Schizosaccharomyces pombe: one gene and its partners. The protein of the gene in region 1 binds, or shares a complex with, the protein of each later gene. Each region holds a gene or a part of one and is shown on either strand. Other genes may lie near its edges.

Evidence for each region.
Region 2: rox3 (region 1) and pmc4 share a complex: the UniProt entries of both Schizosaccharomyces pombe proteins name them as parts of the mediator complex.
Region 3: rox3 (region 1) and med1 share a complex: the UniProt entries of both Schizosaccharomyces pombe proteins name them as parts of the mediator complex.

What each region holds. Positions count from the first base shown.
Region 1 is NC_003421.2:1,731,271-1,737,186, forward strand, and holds rox3 (mediator complex subunit Med19), read right to left. Parts: upstream 4,043-5,916; 5' UTR 3,914-4,042; coding exon 3,497-3,913; 3' UTR 2,990-3,496; downstream 1-2,989. Other genes in the region: ribonucleoprotein complex protein Utp502, read left to right, coding at 159-881; tef5 (translation elongation factor EF-1 beta subunit, guanyl-nucleotide exchange factor (eEF1B)), read left to right, coding at 1,504-1,583, 1,831-2,395; CIA machinery monothiol glutaredoxin Grx3, read right to left, coding at 4,157-4,657; dao1 (D-amino acid oxidase), read right to left, coding at 5,336-5,916. UniProt on the Schizosaccharomyces pombe protein: Component of the Mediator complex, a coactivator involved in the regulated transcription of nearly all RNA polymerase II-dependent genes.
Region 2 is NC_003423.3:3,514,497-3,521,667, forward strand, and holds pmc4 (mediator complex subunit Med4), read left to right. Parts: upstream 1-2,964; 5' UTR 2,965-2,992; coding exon 2,993-3,712; 3' UTR 3,713-3,969; coding exon of another isoform or gene 3,970-4,258; 3' UTR 4,259-4,300; coding exon of another isoform or gene 4,301-4,552; 3' UTR 4,553-4,593; downstream 4,594-7,171. Other genes in the region: cell wall glucan 1,6-beta-glucosidase Exg1, read left to right, coding at 642-1,865; TREX/TREX2 complex subunit Pci2, read right to left, coding at 3,970-4,258, 4,301-4,552, 4,608-5,105, 5,153-5,310, 5,377-5,508; EMP70 family endosomal transport protein Emp70, read left to right, coding at 5,865-6,063, 6,212-7,171. UniProt on the Schizosaccharomyces pombe protein: Component of the Mediator complex, a coactivator involved in the regulated transcription of nearly all RNA polymerase II-dependent genes.
Region 3 is NC_003424.3:536,347-543,715, forward strand, and holds med1 (mediator complex subunit Med1), read left to right. Parts: upstream 1-1,563; 5' UTR 1,564-2,048; coding exon 2,049-2,282; exon of another isoform or gene 2,283-2,328; coding exon 2,329-2,976; intron 2,977-3,018; coding exon 3,019-3,501; 3' UTR 3,502-3,666; downstream 3,667-7,369. Other genes in the region: DYRK family cell polarity protein kinase Pom1, read right to left, coding at 1-1,379; translation initiation factor Tif5, read right to left, coding at 3,779-4,966; pol4 (DNA polymerase X family), read right to left, coding at 5,691-7,211. UniProt on the Schizosaccharomyces pombe protein: Component of the Mediator complex, a coactivator involved in the regulated transcription of nearly all RNA polymerase II-dependent genes.

The DNA of each region.
Region 1 (5,916 bases):
AATTTCTTCATTTATCAAATTATTGGAATATTGCTAAAGTAGCGAAGTTCGAATTGTACGAGAGTAAAATTTTGAGAGTAGTGCACAGTTTGTATTCACCAAATTTCTATCCTCAACCCACCACCAGTTGGAGGTAAAATTGCGGTAGAAAGGCAACCATGGCTGCCACAACCGGTAATATTATCAAATTTGAAGAAAATGCAGATTCGAAAGATTTGCTGGAGCAATGCTTGAATTGCTCTGATGTTGGTGTTGTATCCAACACTGTTCGCAATATGGATGGTACTATTGCGGCTGATTTAGCTAGAACTTTAATCCCAGCCATGTTGATAAATATGCAGCCATCCCTTGCGATTTGGTTGCATTGGATTATTGTTACACATGGTGGATATTTGACCACCGTCATGGATTTGCAGGATTCACTTGTTCAGTTACATGAAAAGCTTGTACAAAGTGCTCATTTAATGACTAAAATTTTTTCTTTGTCCGGAAAATTAAATATGGTTTTATCTCAGGAAGAGATGAGGCAACGTCGACTTGATTTTTCGAGTGAAGATGGAGAAGAAGAGGAGGAAAACGATTACATCGATGAGGATGTGGATGAAGCAGGCTACGATATAGAGGTAGTTGATGAAGCAGAAAATGATGACATGGACAATGATTTGGAAGCAAATGCCGATGCGTTTGATGAAAGCAATTTGGAAGCTTCTTTGTCGCCAAATGCAGAATTATCACCTAGAAAAAGTCACATTGATCATGACTTTGTCATCCCGGAAGATGAAATGCTTTCTGAAGAAGAGGAACAAGAGGTGGAAAAACAAATTCTACCTAAATTTGTTGTCCCCGAAAGCCCAAGAAAAACTAGTCGCAAATCTCGGTAAAATCGGGAATACCTCTGTAAGAAAAAAATCATTCCTTTTGCATAACTTCTGTTTTCTTTTGATCATAATAAATAGAGTGTCTTGATCAATTTACAAAGCTCTACTTTTTTTCCTTTATATTTTATTGGTTCCTTGGATATTAATATTTGGTGCCATGAGAATGACGCTTTATCGTTTTATGGGTACGTGTTGGAATTCGGAAATTGTTTTTACTTAGTTTTAATCTATACATAAATAATATGGATACACCATACATGTATATAAACAAACCAAGTTTGTAAGTATTTGTAGATTGTGTGACTAACCTGCAGTCGTATCGTATATTTAGCGTGTTCATTCGAAAGTATGCCCATAATTTAATCATGAAGCCATTTGTTGGTTTGCTCAACAAATTTATAGTTCTACATTTCTTTTCATCTTCTCGAATATCAAATGTTAAGACAATTTTTGATATTTTGTAATAGCGCAATATTTTTTTCATTGTATCCAATATCAATTAGTGTAGTGCTGTATATATTAACAAAAAAATTGAAATAATATTAATTTATTAACATAAGTAAAACCTCCATAACTCTTGACAAACTACTCTAAAATTTTCTGCCAACAACCAACTACTTTAAAAATGGGTTTTTCTGATCTCACCTCTGACGCTGGTCTTAAGCAACTTAACGACTTCTTGCTTGACAAGTCTTTCATTGAAGGGTAAGTCATTTTTGTGCGGAAAATGCATCAAAATAATAGTGAAATACCATTTGATCACAAATCGTATTTTTTTTCCTTTGTTAAAAGTTCCCTATGGCATATCTACAAGTGCAAAGACTATTTTTTAAAGCCCTCTCAATTAGACACGATAGCCGTCTTTTAACAAAAAACGTGAAAATGCTTTGTTTGTATCTTTTCACTGAGCTTGATGTTTTTTAATTACCAAATCCTTTCTAACGTTTTATAGATATGAGCCTAGCCAAGCTGATGCTGTAGTCTTTAAGGCTGTTGGCGTTGCTCCTGATACTGCCAAGTACCCCAACGGTGCTCGTTGGTACAAGCAAATTGCCACTTATGACCTTGCCACTCTTCCTGGTACCGCCAAGGAGGTTTCTGCCTATGGTCCTGAGGGTGCTGCTGCCGCTGAAGAAGATGAGATCGATCTCTTTGGCTCTGACGAAGAGGAGGATCCTGAAGCTGAGCGCATTAAGGCCGAGCGTGTTGCCGAATACAACAAGAAGAAGGCTGCTAAACCCAAGGCCGTTCACAAGTCTCTTGTCACCTTGGATGTTAAGCCTTGGGATGATGAAACCCCTATGGACGAATTGGAGAAGGCCGTTCGTAGCATTCAAATGGACGGTCTTGTTTGGGGTCTTTCCAAACTTGTTCCCGTTGGTTTCGGTGTCAACAAGTTCCAAATTAACTTGGTTGTTGAGGACGACAAGGTTTCCTTGGAAGCTCTTCAAGAGGAGCTTGAGGGTTTCGAAGATTACGTCCAATCTACCGATATCGCCGCTATGTCCAAGTTGTAAGTTGTTTTACAACTAAAGCGTTCTTCCGTTTATCAGGGAGGTCCTTAGGAATTACAAAAGGATCTTCTCCTCTATATTCTAATGTTAGAGGGGAATGTGTGGATATGGGAAAGCAAATAATTAAATTTGTTTTTGGTTTATATCTATCGATTGTTTCATAAAGTACGATTTTTTTACCTCAATCGTGTTGTAAGCGTGTAAATCTGTATAATTAAGAAATATGGGGTTCGAACGGTGTATTTTATGCAATTCAAGCAATGGTAATTGACATAGAAATGTATGACAAGTTATTTTTTTTGCATCAATCATGAATACTGAAATTACGTCTCTAAAGCCCAGTCGGGTATTTACGATTGATGACTGTAATGTATGGGCAGTAAGTGAAACAATCTGTTTAATTTGGATGATCCAATACCATTTTTTTATGCTGCGGTTCTTTGCAACAGTCCTGCGTAGATCAACTCATATTTTTACTATTTCGACAATTGTTTTACACTTCTCAAAATTGGGTATTATTTAGAAAATACTCTTTACGATGAAATGTATATGAAGAAAAATAACTTTGAAAATGTATTACTAAAATGAATAAAACAACTAGCAACATATAGAACATAAGTTAATATGATTCAGTTAACAACGTTAAGAATACATTAAACAGTAGATGAGAAAAAGAATTTAAGTAATTTGTCTCTTGAGAATCTAGTAGAATCACCGAGATTAAACTATTGAAGTTAAAAGCGACTTCTTAGGAATAAACCTGAGAAAACAAAGATGAATTTTAAAAACGAAACAACGCCATGTAATAAATAAGTTTTCTAGACCGCAAATTAAAGAGTAATTAAATCATTTGGTATTGTTTCCATGCTTTGAAACGATGAAAAATCTCTGAAAACAGCAGATAACTGAACCCGCAGAAAGAGCTTCAAATATTTATCGCTCTTCTGAGTACAATCATTGAGTAATGGAAAGCAGAATCGACAAGTTTCAGTAAAAGCAACAAGTTTAGTAAAATTCGGCAAGAGCATTAAGGATTTGACCTGCAGTTTTAAAGCAAACTTTCACAGCTTTCTAGGATTTGATGAGCAATTGATGGCTCATCAATTACTTCTTTCTACGACTTGGACTACGAGGTTGAGAGGAATCACGACTAACATTGCCCATTACAACGTCGTCTTCAAGGCCAAACACTTTAGGATTAAAACCTGGAATAATGCCTGGCTCTACAGAGAACACATGATGTAAAAATTCAATGTCAATAGGAACTTCTTCTCGAATAGGGTTTGTAAGCCATTGTTTTATAGTATTATCACGAAGAATTTCATTATAACCTGGCAAGTCTTGGATGTAAGCCTTGTACGAACGACGCATCTTTCTCTTGTTACCAAATTCATCGACACGTCCAACCTTTTTAGCAAGTTCCGTAAGACCATAAAGCTCTATTAAATTCTGATGGGCAGAAGGCCTCGTCGGTTGGTAGTCTACACTACCTACATAGTGGTATTCAGGAGCTTGCGCCATGCAAATAAATTGACCAATGTAACAATAAGAATATATTATTGCATTCAAATTTTTTAAATATATATGCAATGAATGCTTTACTCTCTAAGTTGCTTAGCTGGATAGTTTGGAGTAGTGGTTGGTGGTTTAAAGAAGCTATAGCATACTTGGCTAGTATAATTATTGAGTTACTTCCAAGGGTAATCGATTTAACATAAATTGTAATTAATAAATTGCATCAAAACATATATTGAAAAATTAAAATTAGTCGGTAGGTAAAATTAAAACTTTATTATGTGTCCATTCATCCAAAGTAGACTGAAGTTTTTCTTCTTGGTACAGAGCACGGACCGAATCAGATCCACCGATGCTATGACCACCAACGAAGATGTTGGGCATTGTAGATATATCGCTAATGGAAGAAAGCCAGTCTCTTAACTCTTGAGTATGCTCGTAGTCGGTGACTTCTACAACCACTGCTGGAGGATCCAATCTAAGGGTTTCTGTTAGAAGTTTTTTAGCTGCAGCACTATAAGGACATCCAGGACGACTAAAAATGATAACAGGGTTTTCAAGAAATACTTCAAAATCTGTTGAATCCTTAGCAGGTAATTTAGGAGCAGATGGCACTGAGACATCTGAAAGACCTAAAGGTCCTGCCTTTGCATTTTTCTCAGGTTCATTCAGTGGACTGAATATGAAGATATGAATAAGCAATAACGATATTATAAGAGATGTAATAAGAAAAATCTTTCTATTAGCCATAATGGGATGTAAGCTTTCCTTTCTCTTGGTAATTTGTATGAGCTGACGAAAAGCAGCTGATTAATCAAATTATTGTGATTAAAGCAAAATAAAATAATATAAAATGAATAAACTATTACAATTAAATTCCCTCACAGTTGGTTTAGATAGTTACCCAAAACCTGTGGTATGCAAACGGTAGGCTGGTCGCGGATAGGTGAATTTAGGATATTGCGATTGAGGATTGAAAAACTTCTTTAAAGGCCCAAAAATTACTAATTAAGCTACAAAGATGCCACCGTTAATATGAATCAAGCTCAGTCTATTTTAATGCTTCTACAACAAGGGCACGGAAGGAAAGGAACCTTACTTGCTCGCATTAAGGATGCCAAGCACTTTAGTCTTTCAGATTATTCTCAAAAGATGTAAATTTTTTTAAATAATCGTCAAAAAACGTAAAGGTAATGTACAACATTCTAATGCTATTTCATCCTCATGATTTAGCAACTCTCAAAAGCTAATGAACTACTTGTACACGTGTATCGTAGAATTGAAATGCGTTTTAACAAATCCGTTAAGTCTATAAAACATGGTTCGAAATTTGGTATAAAAACTACCTCAAATGAAGCGACCAATTATCCTAATAAAAAGAGGGGAGATAATGCTCTAAAAAATATGAAACGTGATAAAAAAATAAACCTAAGCCAATTTGATTTTAGGAAGAGCCAACATGACAGAGTCAAGAGCCATACCATAACCAGCTTGGTATCCTGTGCCAGAAGCACCGTAATCATGAACAAGGGGGACTGAGGTGCCGGGAACAACATCAAGCTCTACGCGGGCACCACCCTTTCGAGAAGGACGGAATCCGACACATTCTTGAATAATTTCAGCACCCTCCGGACCCTTGCCGTGGAACAATTCTGGCATCAAAGCCGATGTTCTCTTAAGGATATCCAAAGTGTCTTCAGGGTGAATTTCACGATCCCAGTTTCCTGGTTGCATGAAACCGCCGCAAATGACTCCACCATTTAAGGGACGAGGAATAATATAGGTATCAGAGTTCTTGCCATTCAAAATGCGAGTTTCTGTTACATGAGGAGCCTTAACCAAAACAACATGTCCACGAGTCGGATAAACGTCCGGGTCTTCAACGCCACCCAATTTGGAAGCCCAGAGACCAGTGCAATTAAATACTACTGAAGCTTCTGGAGTTTCTTCGACAGTCTCTTTGATGTGACTCAATTCTTTCTTTTCAAATTCGACGCCAGCTTCAATGA
Region 2 (7,171 bases), on another chromosome or scaffold:
CTTGGTAGTGATTGGTTGTCAAATTTTCTTTATCGTAGCATACTCTAGAGCGCTCCGTGAGTTGAGAAATTGGTATAAAAGATACTCATGCCCAGTTCCTTTGTTCCATTGTTTAATTCAAAGACGAAAGCTCTAATTTAGATATCCTTTCTTTTCTTTCTTTACCTTTTTCTTTCTTTTTATTTTTAGAAGTCGCTTGCATTTTCTATTTTACACACTTTCCTTTACATACAGCCCGATTATCTGTTTTCTTCGTTAACATTGTTATCGTGAGTTTCAGTTTTTCTTCCTTTTTTTTTTTTTGCTGTCTGTATCGATATCCTTTTTAAAAGGAACTTCTTTTTTTTGAATCGGCCAATCACTCTGTCCAATTGTACATTGCTATTTTGTGTGGAACTGTTTTTGTACTTCCTTTGTTCTTACATTGCGCGGTCCATAAAGGTGCTCATATATATACCCCTTTTCTTTATACCTATTCTCTCTTCTGCTTTGAAGAACACATAAATATATACACACTCACTTGCTTTTCTCTTAGAATTTGAGACGTGCTTTTGAATTGAACTAAACTGGTTTCTTAACAGTTTTTCGTTCTCTTATTCGTTCTTTATATCTATATTCTATCTCTTTATAATATCATTAAAATGCTCTCTTTTACATCGGTTTTTTCTTTTTTCTTGCATGCATTGCTTCTCAAGACAGCATTTTCCTATGTAATCAAGCGAAATAACCCCGTTTTTGACTATACCTCGGAAAAAGTCCGTGGTGTAAACATTGGTGGCTGGTTGGTGCTGGAAAATTGGATCACTCCACAATTGTTTACTCAATTTAGCAGTATGTCGAATCCTCCCACTGATGAATGGGGCTTTTGTGAGGTTCTTGGTGCAGATGAAGCTGCCTCTCAATTAGCTGCTCATTATAGCTCATTCTACACTGAATCTGATTTCGCTACTATAGCTTCTTGGGGTGTTAATGTTTTGCGTATTCCTATTGGGTATTGGGCCTTTAATGTGGTAGACGGCGAACCATATGTTCAAGGGCAAGAGTACTGGCTCGATCAAGCTCTTACTTGGGCTGAACAATATGGCCTTAAGGTTTGGATTGACTTGCATGGTGTTCCAGGCAGCCAAAATGGATTTGAAAACTCTGGTAAGACTGGTTCCATTGGATGGCAGCAAAATGACACTGTAACTCGTACTCTTGACATTATTACCTATGTTGCTAATAAGTATACCCAATCTCAATATGCCAGCGTGGTTATTGGAATTGAGACGGTAAATGAGCCTTTGGGCTATGGTCTGGATATGGATCAACTTAAGCAATACGATTTAGATGCCTATAATATCGTCAATCCTCTTTCCAGCTCTGTTGCTACTATCATTCACGATGCCTATGTTGATCTTTCTATTTGGGATTATGGTGTTGTATCTCCTTCTTCATACAATCTTGTTATGGATGTCCATCGTTATCAACTTTACGAGTCGGATGAGTGCTCAAAGACTCTCGATGATCATCTTTCAGATGTTTGCTCCATTGGTGATTCCATTGCTTCCTCTCCCTACATTACTGTTACTGGCGAATGGTCCGGAACTTTAGCAGACTGCACGATTTTCGAAGAAGGAGTTGACTCTTCGACATTTATTGGACCAAACAGCGGTGATATTTCCACTTGGACGGATGAATATAAGGGAGCTGTTCGTCTGTTTATCGAAACTCAGTTAGATCAATTTGAACGCGGTGCTGGTTGGATTTACTGGACTGCTAAAACTGGTGGACCAAGTCCTACTTGGGATATGGGATTACTTATTGAATACGGCGTATTCCCTCAACCTTTCACTGATAGACAATATAGCTCTTACTGCGGTTAAGCAAAGCCATATCAAAGTTAAAAAAAAATTTTATCTATTCTAGCTGTATAACACTAATTTATATCTCACACATCGTTGTCATGTCCTGTCCTTGCATTTATCATCTACTATCATTTAACGTGCTGCTATCTACTATCCATTCAGTCTTTGTTTGTTTGGCATTATCTTTAGACATTAGTTTTTAATATATATTGTTGTTTTCGAAATCTTTTAGTTATGTGATATTAATATTTTGGTAGCAAGTTCCTACTAAATTAATATTTAGCTTAATAGTTTACGTTCAATATTGCATATTTTTTCGAACTCTATATTAACAGTAGCTGTACTTTGGAGAAAGTTGACCGAGAAATCTTTTTAAAGTTGTCCAATTGAATTTTCAATTATCAAGTATCTTCAGTTTACTTATATGAAATGTATTTTCTGCTCTACTCTTATAAGTCAGTATTGAGCCACATAGACGGACCACTTTGAGTTAGTCTCGGAAAAGCAAATCGACAGAATAGGTTTTCACTCAGCCACAGGTGACATATGTTTAAAATACTTTTATAAAAATTACATTTAAATTGAGCGATTTCTTGGTAAAGTAATATTACACATTTTCTGATCTGATATAGGCTTTATACGCATTAAACGAAATAAGCTCATTAAGCATTCTTTAACGAACTCGCTTTTTTAATTTAATGAGATATCTAATTCACTAGTATGTATTCATTATGTTGTCCCTAACAAGATCAAAATTGTTACACTGTAAATGTAACGTAGTTTGTCGACTAATTTATACGAATAATAGCTTTCTTCTTGCCCAAATTAGTGAAATTTGTTAGACAATTTAAACAATTAAAATCATATACAGAATTAAATTGACTAATTCTATTTAATCGAGAGTAACTTAAGTATTGTTCGTCGAGCGTATATACCAGCTGCTACTTATTGCCCTTGTGGAGGAGGACATTACTGTAATTTACCGTGTTTTAGCACATTAAACCTTTTAAGGATGTCTGTTTAACTAACGGTTACGGATGTTTAAGGAGTAAAAAGTCGAGTCTGCAAAATAACTGTAACCTGACCTACTAGATGATCGAGCAATTGTTGAGTAGTTAGTATATAGTAATCACATATGCTCCCCAATGGAATATCAAAGAGCCATTGATTCTATTGAAGAATGTCTCAATAAACAGTTAAGACTGTCATCCGAAAAGGTTGACCAATATGTACTAATAGAAAACTGGACCTCATTAGTAGGCCACTTGAAAACCTTACACTCTTTAATATCAAATTACACAAATGGTAGAGAATTACAAAATGAAATTAGTTCTTTGCTGAAGCAGGATAAGGAACTGGATTTACAAATTCAAGACTGCATGAGAGAAATGACCTCAATTTATGATACCCATCTTCCAAAAACAGTGTCGGGGAGAAAACGACAAAAAGTTAATGCTGAAACACTCCTTGATTATGGTAGAAAACTTTCCAAGTTTTCCTCTGCACCTCCTGGGTACAATCCCGAGACGGGTCAAGATGCAAAAGCTCCTGTGCATTATCCTTGGCCATCGGAGGACCAGATGCGAAAAACTCTGTTGTTTCAGTTTTCAACTAGCATGGTTCCAAATTTATCGGCTACAGCGTCCCAATTATTTTCTGAACAGCCTCCAAAGACGAACGAGCCAACGGAAACAGAAACAGAAATTGATGCGAACAAAGCCGTTGAAGAAAAAACTAAAATGAATTATCCTGCCTCTCCAACATTCACTACGCAAGAGGAAAATAAAGAAGTAGAATCGCCAGCTAATAAGGATGTCTTTGCAGGATTTGATCTTTTTGATCCAGAAATGGAAGAAGATTTTTGATTCTAAATTGTGTTATTTGTCAAGTGATATCTGGTATTTTACTTTTCTAATTATAGAGTTTTTTGCTTTGACCAAATACCCTTTTGTTTTAAAAATGAATAAAATTACGCTTTGCCGTTTAGACTGTATTTATTTAGCTTTCAGACTTCGCAAAGCAAGATGATTGAACACTGTTCCTTGCTTAACATTTGTCAATTCAAATTTAATTAATTTTAAGTATAATTTTCGAACAATCTACGTTTTCTGAGTTCATTTAATTATGCGTTAGCATGAAAAAATTCCTTTTCTGCGTGATCATTCCTTGCTATGGGCATAAGGCTCTCTATTACAGAAAAACCGAACGATGGGTCTTTTTTAAGGACTAAAGTTGATGATGCATGAATGATATAACCTTTAATATATCCTTGGTCAATTAGAGAAACACAGATACATTCGACATCGTCCATGTCATATGAGTTATCATTTGTACTTAAACGGGCCGCGGTTAACAAGTAAGAACCAGATACGTGCGGGGTTTTTTGGCTTTGCTCAAAAGTAAAAAGAAACCTTTTTAAATTAGTCGAATATTTTAAAAAATCTCAAACGTACACCTTTCTAAATAAATTCCTCCACAGGATGATTTCACATCTATCCAATAAAGTTAGATATATTCCTCGTTTGATAAACCATTTCCTCCTGGAATTGTCCTCCAAAGATAATCTGAACGACTTGATATCACCACTTTTCAAAGCTTTTATTAAAGGTTCGAATGCTGCAGTCAATTTGTATTTTTCTAATAGCCCTTTTGTTGGCGATTTTCCTAATATAAGTAAACACGTTGTAAGATAGATTAGAGAAAGCCTTTTTTGATTAGTAAATATAAACGAATCCTATTTTTGAGTAAAATAAAACATACCTTTTTTGATGATAACACTCATCAGGGCACTGAAGAAACGAAAAAAGTAGATGGTCCTTTGCCTGATGAATTTTGCGTTGATAAAGATGACACCTTCCTAAATAATAACGAAACGTTACTAATTCCGCCATTGTAGCGCGAGAAATATCGGCACCCGAAGAGATGACATTAGCTTGAATAGTTTGGCAAAGACGAATTTGCTTTAAGCGAAAATATAGTAAACAAAGTAAATTGGCAATACAGAATATCGCATCCTTCTTCGAAGGGTTAATGTTTTGTTGACGATCACTCAGTATACTATTGAACGTTCGTAAGACGTTCCTAGATGCATCGCTCACGTATTTCCTCTGTATGAACCCATTACCATCAAAAGAATCTTCTAAAGTAGGTGTAGATGTATCTAGCTGAAGGGAGAGCTTTACATAAAGCTTTGAAACGCGTTTTACAATTGTACACAACCATGCTCCATCGATATGGGAGAAGCAAGTTGTCAAGTTACTAGAAAAACAAAAGTGAGAAATAATAAACAAAAAGTTTTTAATTACCTATACAAGTTTTGTAACAATTCCCATTTTCGTTGATCAGGAGAAGATGCAGCATTTTCAACGTACTCAAAATAGGTAGTTACCAATTCCTTCCAACCTCTTATTCTTCCAAATTCTTTTTGAATGGTTCCGTTTAACTTATTTTTCCCCTTTCTATCCTTTATCACGGTTAGTTAATGTTATAACCTGAAGACAATTACTTGTAGTGCAAGCCTGCGACATACCAAAAAAAGAGTTTTACTGAGCTGTTGAAACGAGGGCTCTGATGGATCTAAAATAATACATTTCTCCAACGTATTGGAGTTTTTCTCTCCAACAGCGTTACTCAAAGTTTGCAGAAAGTCATTTAAGGACATTCCAACCTGTTCCTTCGCAACTTTTAGTACTAAACTTTCAATTATTATGTAACGATAAATAAGTTATAACAAGAAAACTCAACAGATATGTTTTCGCTTACATCGATGTTCTCCAACTCTCACGTTCTGAACCTCATATACGAATAACGAAAGTTAGCAGGTCGTAAACCGGTATACGAGGATTGTTAATAGCACAATAAAGAGACATACTAAGAGTACAGCAGCATTCCTCAAATTAAATGCTACCAGCATCAATCCCCAAAACCGTAGCACTTTATATTGATTTAGTCTTAATCATCTCGGTTTGAAAAGATTCTGTTTCGAGTCTTTGCCAAGAATTAGGGAAATAGTAAAATATGCTTTTACCTAGTATTCCCTCGTGTTCATTTAGCTTTGTTGTTTTCGTTTCCGTTCTTCTCCAAACCTGTTTTAGTTTTCAATTAACTCCCTTAAGTCCGAAAAACTATCCTCCCGGTGCTTCAATTGATACAACTGTCAATACCATTTCACCATTTATTGGAGATGGACGGGGTTCTGACATCTTTAATTATGAATGTACGTGGTTGATAGCTCACATGAAGGTTCATGTGTTTTTTTAAAAACTTTACAATTTTAAATTAGGAAAACACTATAGAAATATGATTTAATGAAGGATATAACATTTTCTCTCGAACTTTTTTGCTTGTTACTAACTTCACTTTAGACTACGATGAGCGTTTCCACTTCTGTCGACCAGAGAATATCGCAAAACAATCTGAGTCACTTGGAAGTGTGCTTTTTGGCGACCGTCTCTACAACTCTCCCATTGAAATAAAAATGCTTGAAAACCAGGATTGTGTTCCCTTGTGTGCCTCGATAATTCCCAGTTCAGATGTCAGTTTTATTAGAGATTTAATCTCCAAAAACTACGTTGTTAACTGGAACATAGATAATCTGCCCGTAGCAACATATTTAGAAGGGACTAACTCAAAGAACTACTCATTATCGCCAGGCTTTCCATTAGGCAAGAATACGGAGAAGGGAGTAATTCTATTCAATCATTATGATATAGTTATAGAATATCATACGACATCTAGTGACCAACACCGTGTTGTGGGTGCTTATGTAAAACCTGTCTCAAAGGAGTCTACTTTAGTTGATGGAAACCCAGTTTGTTCTTCGTCTTCAAATCCACAGTATTTACCGGAAGGAGCTGATCTTACTCTCGTGACCTCTTACTCAGTCTCTTGGAAATATTCCGATACTCCATGGGCTACCCGATGGGACAAATATATGCACATTGAATCTAGGCAAATTCGATGGATCTTTATTATCCATTCCGCAATTATTGACACATTTCTAATTTTTGTGGTTTCTATTATTTTGTACAGAACGCTAAATCGTGACATTAATAAATATAATAGCGCCTTTGTCGATCAAGAAGATGTTCAAGAAGATTTTGGTTGGAAGCTAGTTCATGGTGATGTATTTCGTCCACCTCGTAGACCCATGCTATTTTCTATCCTTTTAGGGACTGGTGCACAACTTCTTTTTATGAGCTCTGGTATCGTTTTATTTGCAATTTTTGGCATTGTTGCACCCTCTCGTCGTGGAAGTTTAGCTACAGCAACGGTGGCCTTATTCATTATATCAGGTTTCGTTTCTGGTTATGTATCTGCATTAT
Region 3 (7,369 bases), on another chromosome or scaffold:
GGTACGTCAGGGGCATCCTCGTGTTTAGCTTTACTTCCTTTCTTCATACGAGAAGAACTTCTCGAAAAACTCAATCTGCTAAAAAAGCCACCTCTTGAAGATCTACCTTCTTTGTTGGAAGATTTCTGTGATTTAGACTCATTTTGGACAGTATTCCCATGTTTAGCTTCATGGTTACGATGCCCATCAACGTTTGTCTTCTGAGAAACCGCTTTAGGAGCAGCTTTCGGATCAGGATTTCTACTGTCGGGATGAACTTGAGATGATGTAGTAGTATTATTGTGATTATCGGATGAAACAGGTTTGTTGTTATCGAAGACAGAGGGGGTAGCAAAAGAGTGTGATTTGGTTTGTGATCCTACATGTGAGTGATTATTTTTAACATTAGAAAGGGTTATTTGACTATGGGGGGAAAGTTCTTTGAAAAAAGAATTGGATGTCTTCAAAGGGGATTGGATTGTAGAAAGATTCTTCGATTCTGAACTTGATTTCGTAAGGGATCCAGATATATTTGCTTTAGGATGTTGGTGATCAGTGGAATGACCTATATTAGGAGGAATAGTTGGAACAGGAGGAATTCCAGACTTATTTCCAATAGAAGCTGCTCTGGGATGTGAAGTAGAATGGAAGTTAGTATGACGCCAACTACCGGATCTCTTTGGAGCCATTGAAGCATGGTATGCATGGTTCCCCGAGGAAAAAACGCTAGATTGTAAAGGAACGGATGATACATCTTGTGTAATAGATATAACCCCACTCAAATGCCCCCCATTATTTTGCTGATTCCAATCACTAGGCTTTGATGAACGATTATAATATGATAAGGAAGTTCCAAAACTCTTAGAGTTCGATATTGAAGATGTCCTATGATGTGAAGAAGTATTCAACGACGAAGGATTGTTCTGCTGAGATGACTCGAAATCGATTGGGTTATTACCAATACTTATGTTTGACAAACGGTGTATGGAATTCCTCGGACTGTTTTTCTGTCTATAATCGTGATCAAAACTACTTCGGAGTAAACCATTGCCAGTCGAGTGGTGTATAGTAATAGCATGATTATCCATAGATGAACCAACTCCCTTTGGTTCAACATTCATAAATAACTCATCTTTATGCTCTTGTTCCGGAAAAGAAATGTTCGTATTTGAGGCATTCGTCGAAGGACTCGTATCTGCTGCTGTACTGCTAGAACTCTGGCGGTTTGGACAAATATCGTTGGAATAACTACCAACGGCAGAAAGTTCAGATGGGTTTAATAGTTCAGATTTTATTCCGAACATGTTTGCGCTTTTCCGGTTTGATGTATGAAGTTTAAATAATGCATCCGTATTTTCGTCGCCCAGAGAAACCGCTTTTTGGGACTGCAAATAGCCCATTTGCAAACTTTGCTTCAAAAAGCCAAAATTCTCACTATATTACGCTTTTACTGGCTTTTTTGAAACAAAATATTGTTTCTATAAGCTCCCTCCTTCAGTTACAGTCTCTTATCTTCTTTAAAATGCAAACTAGTAGCAGTACGTTCGTGGCTAATTAAAGCCGCGCTACACCCTGCATATCAATACCAACCACTTCTGAAAGGGCACGCAAGCTGTAAATGAAACATAGAACGCTTATTGATTTGTGCACAAATTTTACCAAAAAGAAAATATTTTATTAAGATTTACTGCATATATATTTTGATGCTTTAAAAAGAGTTTGAGTGAACATACTTTGGGTTTTTTTTAGTCCAAGGTTTAAAATTGGTTTTCATTTGTATACATATAAAATTCCCCATAACTACTGTTTTAACCCTCGTTATAAAGATAAATCAATCACACAGACCTTCCCATTGAAACTAAGTTTTAGGCGGTTCAAAATTACCTACTTGTTTTTGCAATTAATGCGTTTCTAGCAAATAGTTTGATGGCAGTAAAGGCTTCCTTTTTGCAGAACAAATTAAATTGCTCGCTGAACAGACATAAAATTGCGCTTATATACAGTGTTTTAAGCTGATTAAATACGAAATACACGACTAATTTACTAAATCTTCTTTAATAATCTTTTCGATGGATAGACCACATCTCTTTTCTGAAGTTCATTTCCGTCGAAACGCCTCTAACCCCAATCAGATTAACTGGACGCGTTATTGGATTGATTGTCTATCATCAGTTCCTTGGAATGATATCTCTGTAACTGGATTTGAATATTTGGCTAAAAAGTATGGTCTGGAGGTTTTTCAAGACTCCTCCAAACCCAATGAAGTGGTCCTCAGTTTAGCTGGAAAAATAATTTTGATCGACGTAAGTTTAAATCCTGTACATAACCGTTTTACTAATTAGTATCTAGATCACTGTTCCCATAAATGCGTCTCCAAAAGATATCAACGTTGTTTTGGCTTTTGCAAACGCTAGTGGTGAGCAATATAATAATCCTGTTGCAGAAAAATTACTTAAGGATGCAATTTACAATTGCAATACCCCACTATTTGAAAAGAATGTCAAATGGTTGGCTACCTTTGATCACTCCTCTCCTTCGGTCCAACAAAGTTGTTTCCAATATTTAGACTCACTATCCTCTTCTTTAAATGCTATTTATGAAGCAGAATTATCTTTGCTAGCACAAGAAGAAAATGTTATAATGCATGGAAACGGAAAGCCTCTCAGTAATTACGAAGGACAACTTGGTTTGCGTATTGTATACTGGAAGCTTTTGGATAAAACCTATAGCACTCAAATTTTTATGGATAATTTGTCTCATGAGTCGCTACCTCACTTGTTATTCGGATATAATTTATTAAATTCTCCTCCTATCCTCCAATCATCAAAAATTAATTGGGCACTTGAAAATACTTTGACACCTATTCCTACAACAATGGAACTAGTTTTTGATGATATCAATTTAATAATACCAGAGCAGGGCGTCAAACCTTTACTTGATTTGCTTCATGTCCATGACATTACCATTCCTTGGCCTGTCCAAAATTATAGTCATATGGTAAGTACTTTCCCTAAATATCAACTTAACTAATTTCACCAGCTTGGTTTACCTTCAAAATCAACCGTGAACTACAAATTCATTAATAAAAATCAAGCCATCCAGCTAACAGGGTTCGATGTTTCCGCACGTTCTTTGCGTCACGTACCGTTTCATCATCCCAAGCAAATTCGAGGAATACTTGCTATTGTACGCCAATATTTATTATTACAATTGATTTTGGAAAATATCAAATCAGCAGATTTAGCAGAGACTGCGGCATCTTCCTCCCTTCACCTCTCTCTATATTTTAAGGAGCATCCGATCGTTCATGCCCAATATCAAGAAATCAACAAACTGAATAATTCCGAACAAATTATCATTGTTCTATCCGTATTGTCAGATGGAAGACTGAATGTTGATTATATGTCTAGTGGTGGCAAAGAATTGTCAAAACAACAGTCTCATGTTTTTCAAAAACTTATACAACAAACATGTAACATCGGACTTGCGATAGAAGTGTTTATAAAGAAAGTCGTTAATTAGAATTTCATGCTAGAAAAAGACATTACTAATCAGTTTTAAAAATCTTTAGTAAAATGAAATTATGGAATTAGTTGGATGTTTTGAATAGTATAAATTGAACACTTTAAAAGGCTAGCCTATTTTACAAAAATCAGAACACTTTAATAGATATATTCAACTTACGAGAAACTAATTTGCTAAAACTTGAAAGAATCAGCTTAATATTTTAGAGAACAGGATTGTAAGTTATTCAATTCTCAAAGCACAAATTGTGGTAGAGAGTAAAAAGAGGCCGTTCTTATTCGTCGTCGTCTTCTTCTTCTTCCTCCTCATCTTCACTCTCAGATTCGTCACTTGCTTCAGCCAACCATGTCAAAAAAGGTTCAGCAGCTTCATGAATCTTCTTACTAGTTTCACGGCTCACATATTTCTTGCTAGCCTTTGCTCCCCATTTCTCAAACATGTCATCAGAGACCAAGTCATTCTGATAAATCTCCAAGAGTACCTTGGGAACAACGTCGATGTGCACTAATTCAGTGTTTTCCATCAAACGTTCAAACCCACCAAGAAGAGCACGTTCATGTTTATCTGTCGTGCAAAGCTTTTTAAACAATGCACCATGCTTTTCAAACTCCCCAACGTAAGGCGAAGTAATAATACATTGAACTAGTACAACAATAGCTTTACTTTTATGATGAATATTCTCTTCCTTCATCTTTTTGTAAATTTCAACATCAGAAACACCAGGGTAGTTGTCTTCAAGCCATTCACCGAATTGATCATAACGGCTAGATTCCGCTTCTTCCTCGTCGCCACGTAAGTCACTCAAAGTGAGCGAATCTTTCATATTACCTTCTAACTCTTGAACACGAGCACGAACAGCTTCTTCACTGGTATCCACAGCCCAATCTTCGTCATTTACGACCTCAGCGGTAGGGAGTTCCGCGGCTTCTTGACGAATTCTACGAGTGAGTTCGTCTTCAGCACCATCTTCTTCCTCTGCAACAGGAGAATCCCTTTTATGTTTGTGGGACTTCTTTTTTGCAGGAGGGTTCTTGACGATGACACCAGTAAGCTTGTGACGACCGTCAATGACACCACGATAGCCACAAGCTTTACAATCATAGGAAATTGTCTGATCCTTCTTATTAATGCTTAATTCAGTTTCCGGATTTTGACAAGAAGCGCATAGCACAAAACGGCGGATAAATACATCCAACAGATCTTGAAGCTTTCCAGCATCATGAGCACCGTTCACAATGTAACGGTCCATGTCAGCAATAATGGTGGTTTGGGCGCCCAACTCAAAACCAAAAAATTTAGTTACATACAAAGGGGGTCTTCCCAACGCCTTAGCGATATCGGACATGTTCGGGATTACAGTCTTTATACCATTTCCCTTGCCTTCGATTTTAGATTGCAGTTTTGGCATTCTATAACGATAGAAGCTATCTTTGACATCACGTCGGATGTTAATGGTTGCCATTGTTATTACAGTCTCGATGATTTTTTTAGGTAATATAAAAAAATTTGCTCTACTTTATGTCTTTAAAAAGCGCTTAGTGCTTGTGACTTATTCTAAAATTTGAAATATCATAACAAGTCACTCTTTCGATAAAAAATCCGTATTATCTTTAAAATGTTCCTTTTATTTCAGATGGCCAGTCCTTGAACGTTGATTAAATGCACAGTTTTGTATTTTAAACGATGTCTCAAACATGAAAGTCCTTTGGTGATGGTTTTCCAAAGGTATGTGTCAAGGTAAGGTGTTTGGTAAAAAACAAAAGTTGCAGCCACAACTTTTTATTATTTTTAACCCACTCCAGTCACGTGCCCTAAGATGAGTAAAATTGTCATTTTAACGCCATGACGTTAAAAATCGTTATTCGTCTTTAAAAAAAATCCATATTTTGTAAACACAGCATTCGCATAGAGCTTCATTGTATACCAAACTGTTAGACCTCAATTTTCCCTCTCTTTAAATTCGAGATTTCTGATAAATTTACTTGTTTGATGTCTCATTTCTGTTCCAAGGATTTCGTTTCCTAATAGACCGATTGGAAAAATGTGTAAACATTTCAAGTTTTTAGCAAAAAATCTACTAAAAGTGTCGGGTAGCAAAGAAACATAAATTAAAAGAAGCTTCGTAAAACAATTTTCGAAATCGCGAGTTAGTAATGTGGCGATCTTAAGGTCAAGATAGGTATTTACTATCCCGTGTTACGAAACTTTGGTTCAATATACTCTAGGGAGAAATATCTAAAAATGTCTTTTTCAGCTTCCACGGGATCCTTCCACTCATTAAATTCGTCGGGACATATGTCTTTTCCTGTTTTAAGATTTATGATTTCGAACGAATCATAGCTTAGACCCAAATGAGAGTTAGCATAAAGCTTCAAATCGCGAAGAAAAAATATTCCTCCACTCCATCCTAATACGGCAGAGCCTATGTATGCAGGCGGCACTACTATAATATCAACACGCCTATTGATTTTAGAAGAATTTGACAAAATGACTGCTAGCATTACATAACCTTTCTTTCCTCCGCAAGAATGTTCCTGAACAGAAATTAGTCGGAATTGAAATTCCTCGTCTAAAATTCTTAAGAGAACATCCACCAGATGTTTTGTAGAATGAGTATGTGATGGACTCAACACCATATCAACGTCCGCTCCAACAGGCTTTCCCCGACGAAATCCACCTACTAGACAAGACTGAATTTTAATTCCATCCGGCATCCGTGAGACAATAGTTTCATAAATCTCCGTGGCTTCCTCAATGGTTACAGTTTTACAAAAATCTTCATAAAACTCCAGACCAACTTTTATTTGTTTGGTAAATGAATCTTTGTGCTTCCTAACTTGTTCAATCGTACGCCAACCCTTTTGGTACCATTCAGCAGCATGAGAAGCACCAACTCCGAAAATATTGTAAAATAAAAGCAAAATTTTTGAAGCCGGATCCTTCTGAAATTCCTCAGCTTCTTTTAAGGTTCCCGTTGATGCAAACTCTTTCCAAAGATGTACTATTTTGGGCCCACAACCGGGCATTTTCTCTAATTGTTCTGCGCTATCGATAGGCAAGGGAAAAGCTTTAATGGTTGCAATCGCCATTCCGTATGCCCTAGTCCTTACTGATTCACCGTTTACTTCTCTGCATGTTTTCAAGACACTTAAAGCATTCACAAAGGCTTGATTGACACATTTAAGCGGTGTCTTTCTCTGGCACGCATACCGTGGAATTTCAAGAACGTAAGGGTATTCTTTCGTAGTCGGATAAACTGATCCTTCTTGATCAACATTGTCAATGCTTTTAACTTCGTTATTATTTTCTGTGTTTGGAGTTTCGTGGTTTTCAAAATCGTTTGGTGCTTCAGTGTGCGAAGCAGGTCTTGTTGAAGGTGTGTACGGCGAGCCAACTTTCATCTCTGGTTTTCGATGCCATATCACATATGGATTCCCGGGCGTTAAAGATTCTTTAGGCTCGTTAAGCCAGTCAATTTTAACAATCAACTTACACGATACACACGTCTCTAACGGTGTTCCAATTGTTCTTAGCTCTCGCCGAACTCTGTTAATTTGACTGTAATTGACAAAAATGTAATCCGCTTTTGCTGCATCGTTTGTGAATTCTCCTCCAAAATTTACAATTTTTGATCGCGCATCTTCATATTGTGAATTGGACAAGCGATTATGTAGTACATAATTTGTACTGCTTGCAAGAATCTTCATTTTGAACAATTACAACTAAGGGAACAAAAAACGTATTGCCTATTAATTGACCTTGTAATAAATTTCGAGGTTACCCAATTCTTAGAACAAACTAATATGGAAAATAAAAACAAGCTAAAGGCACAATAAAGCATCTACTAAGTTACAAAGCAATGATA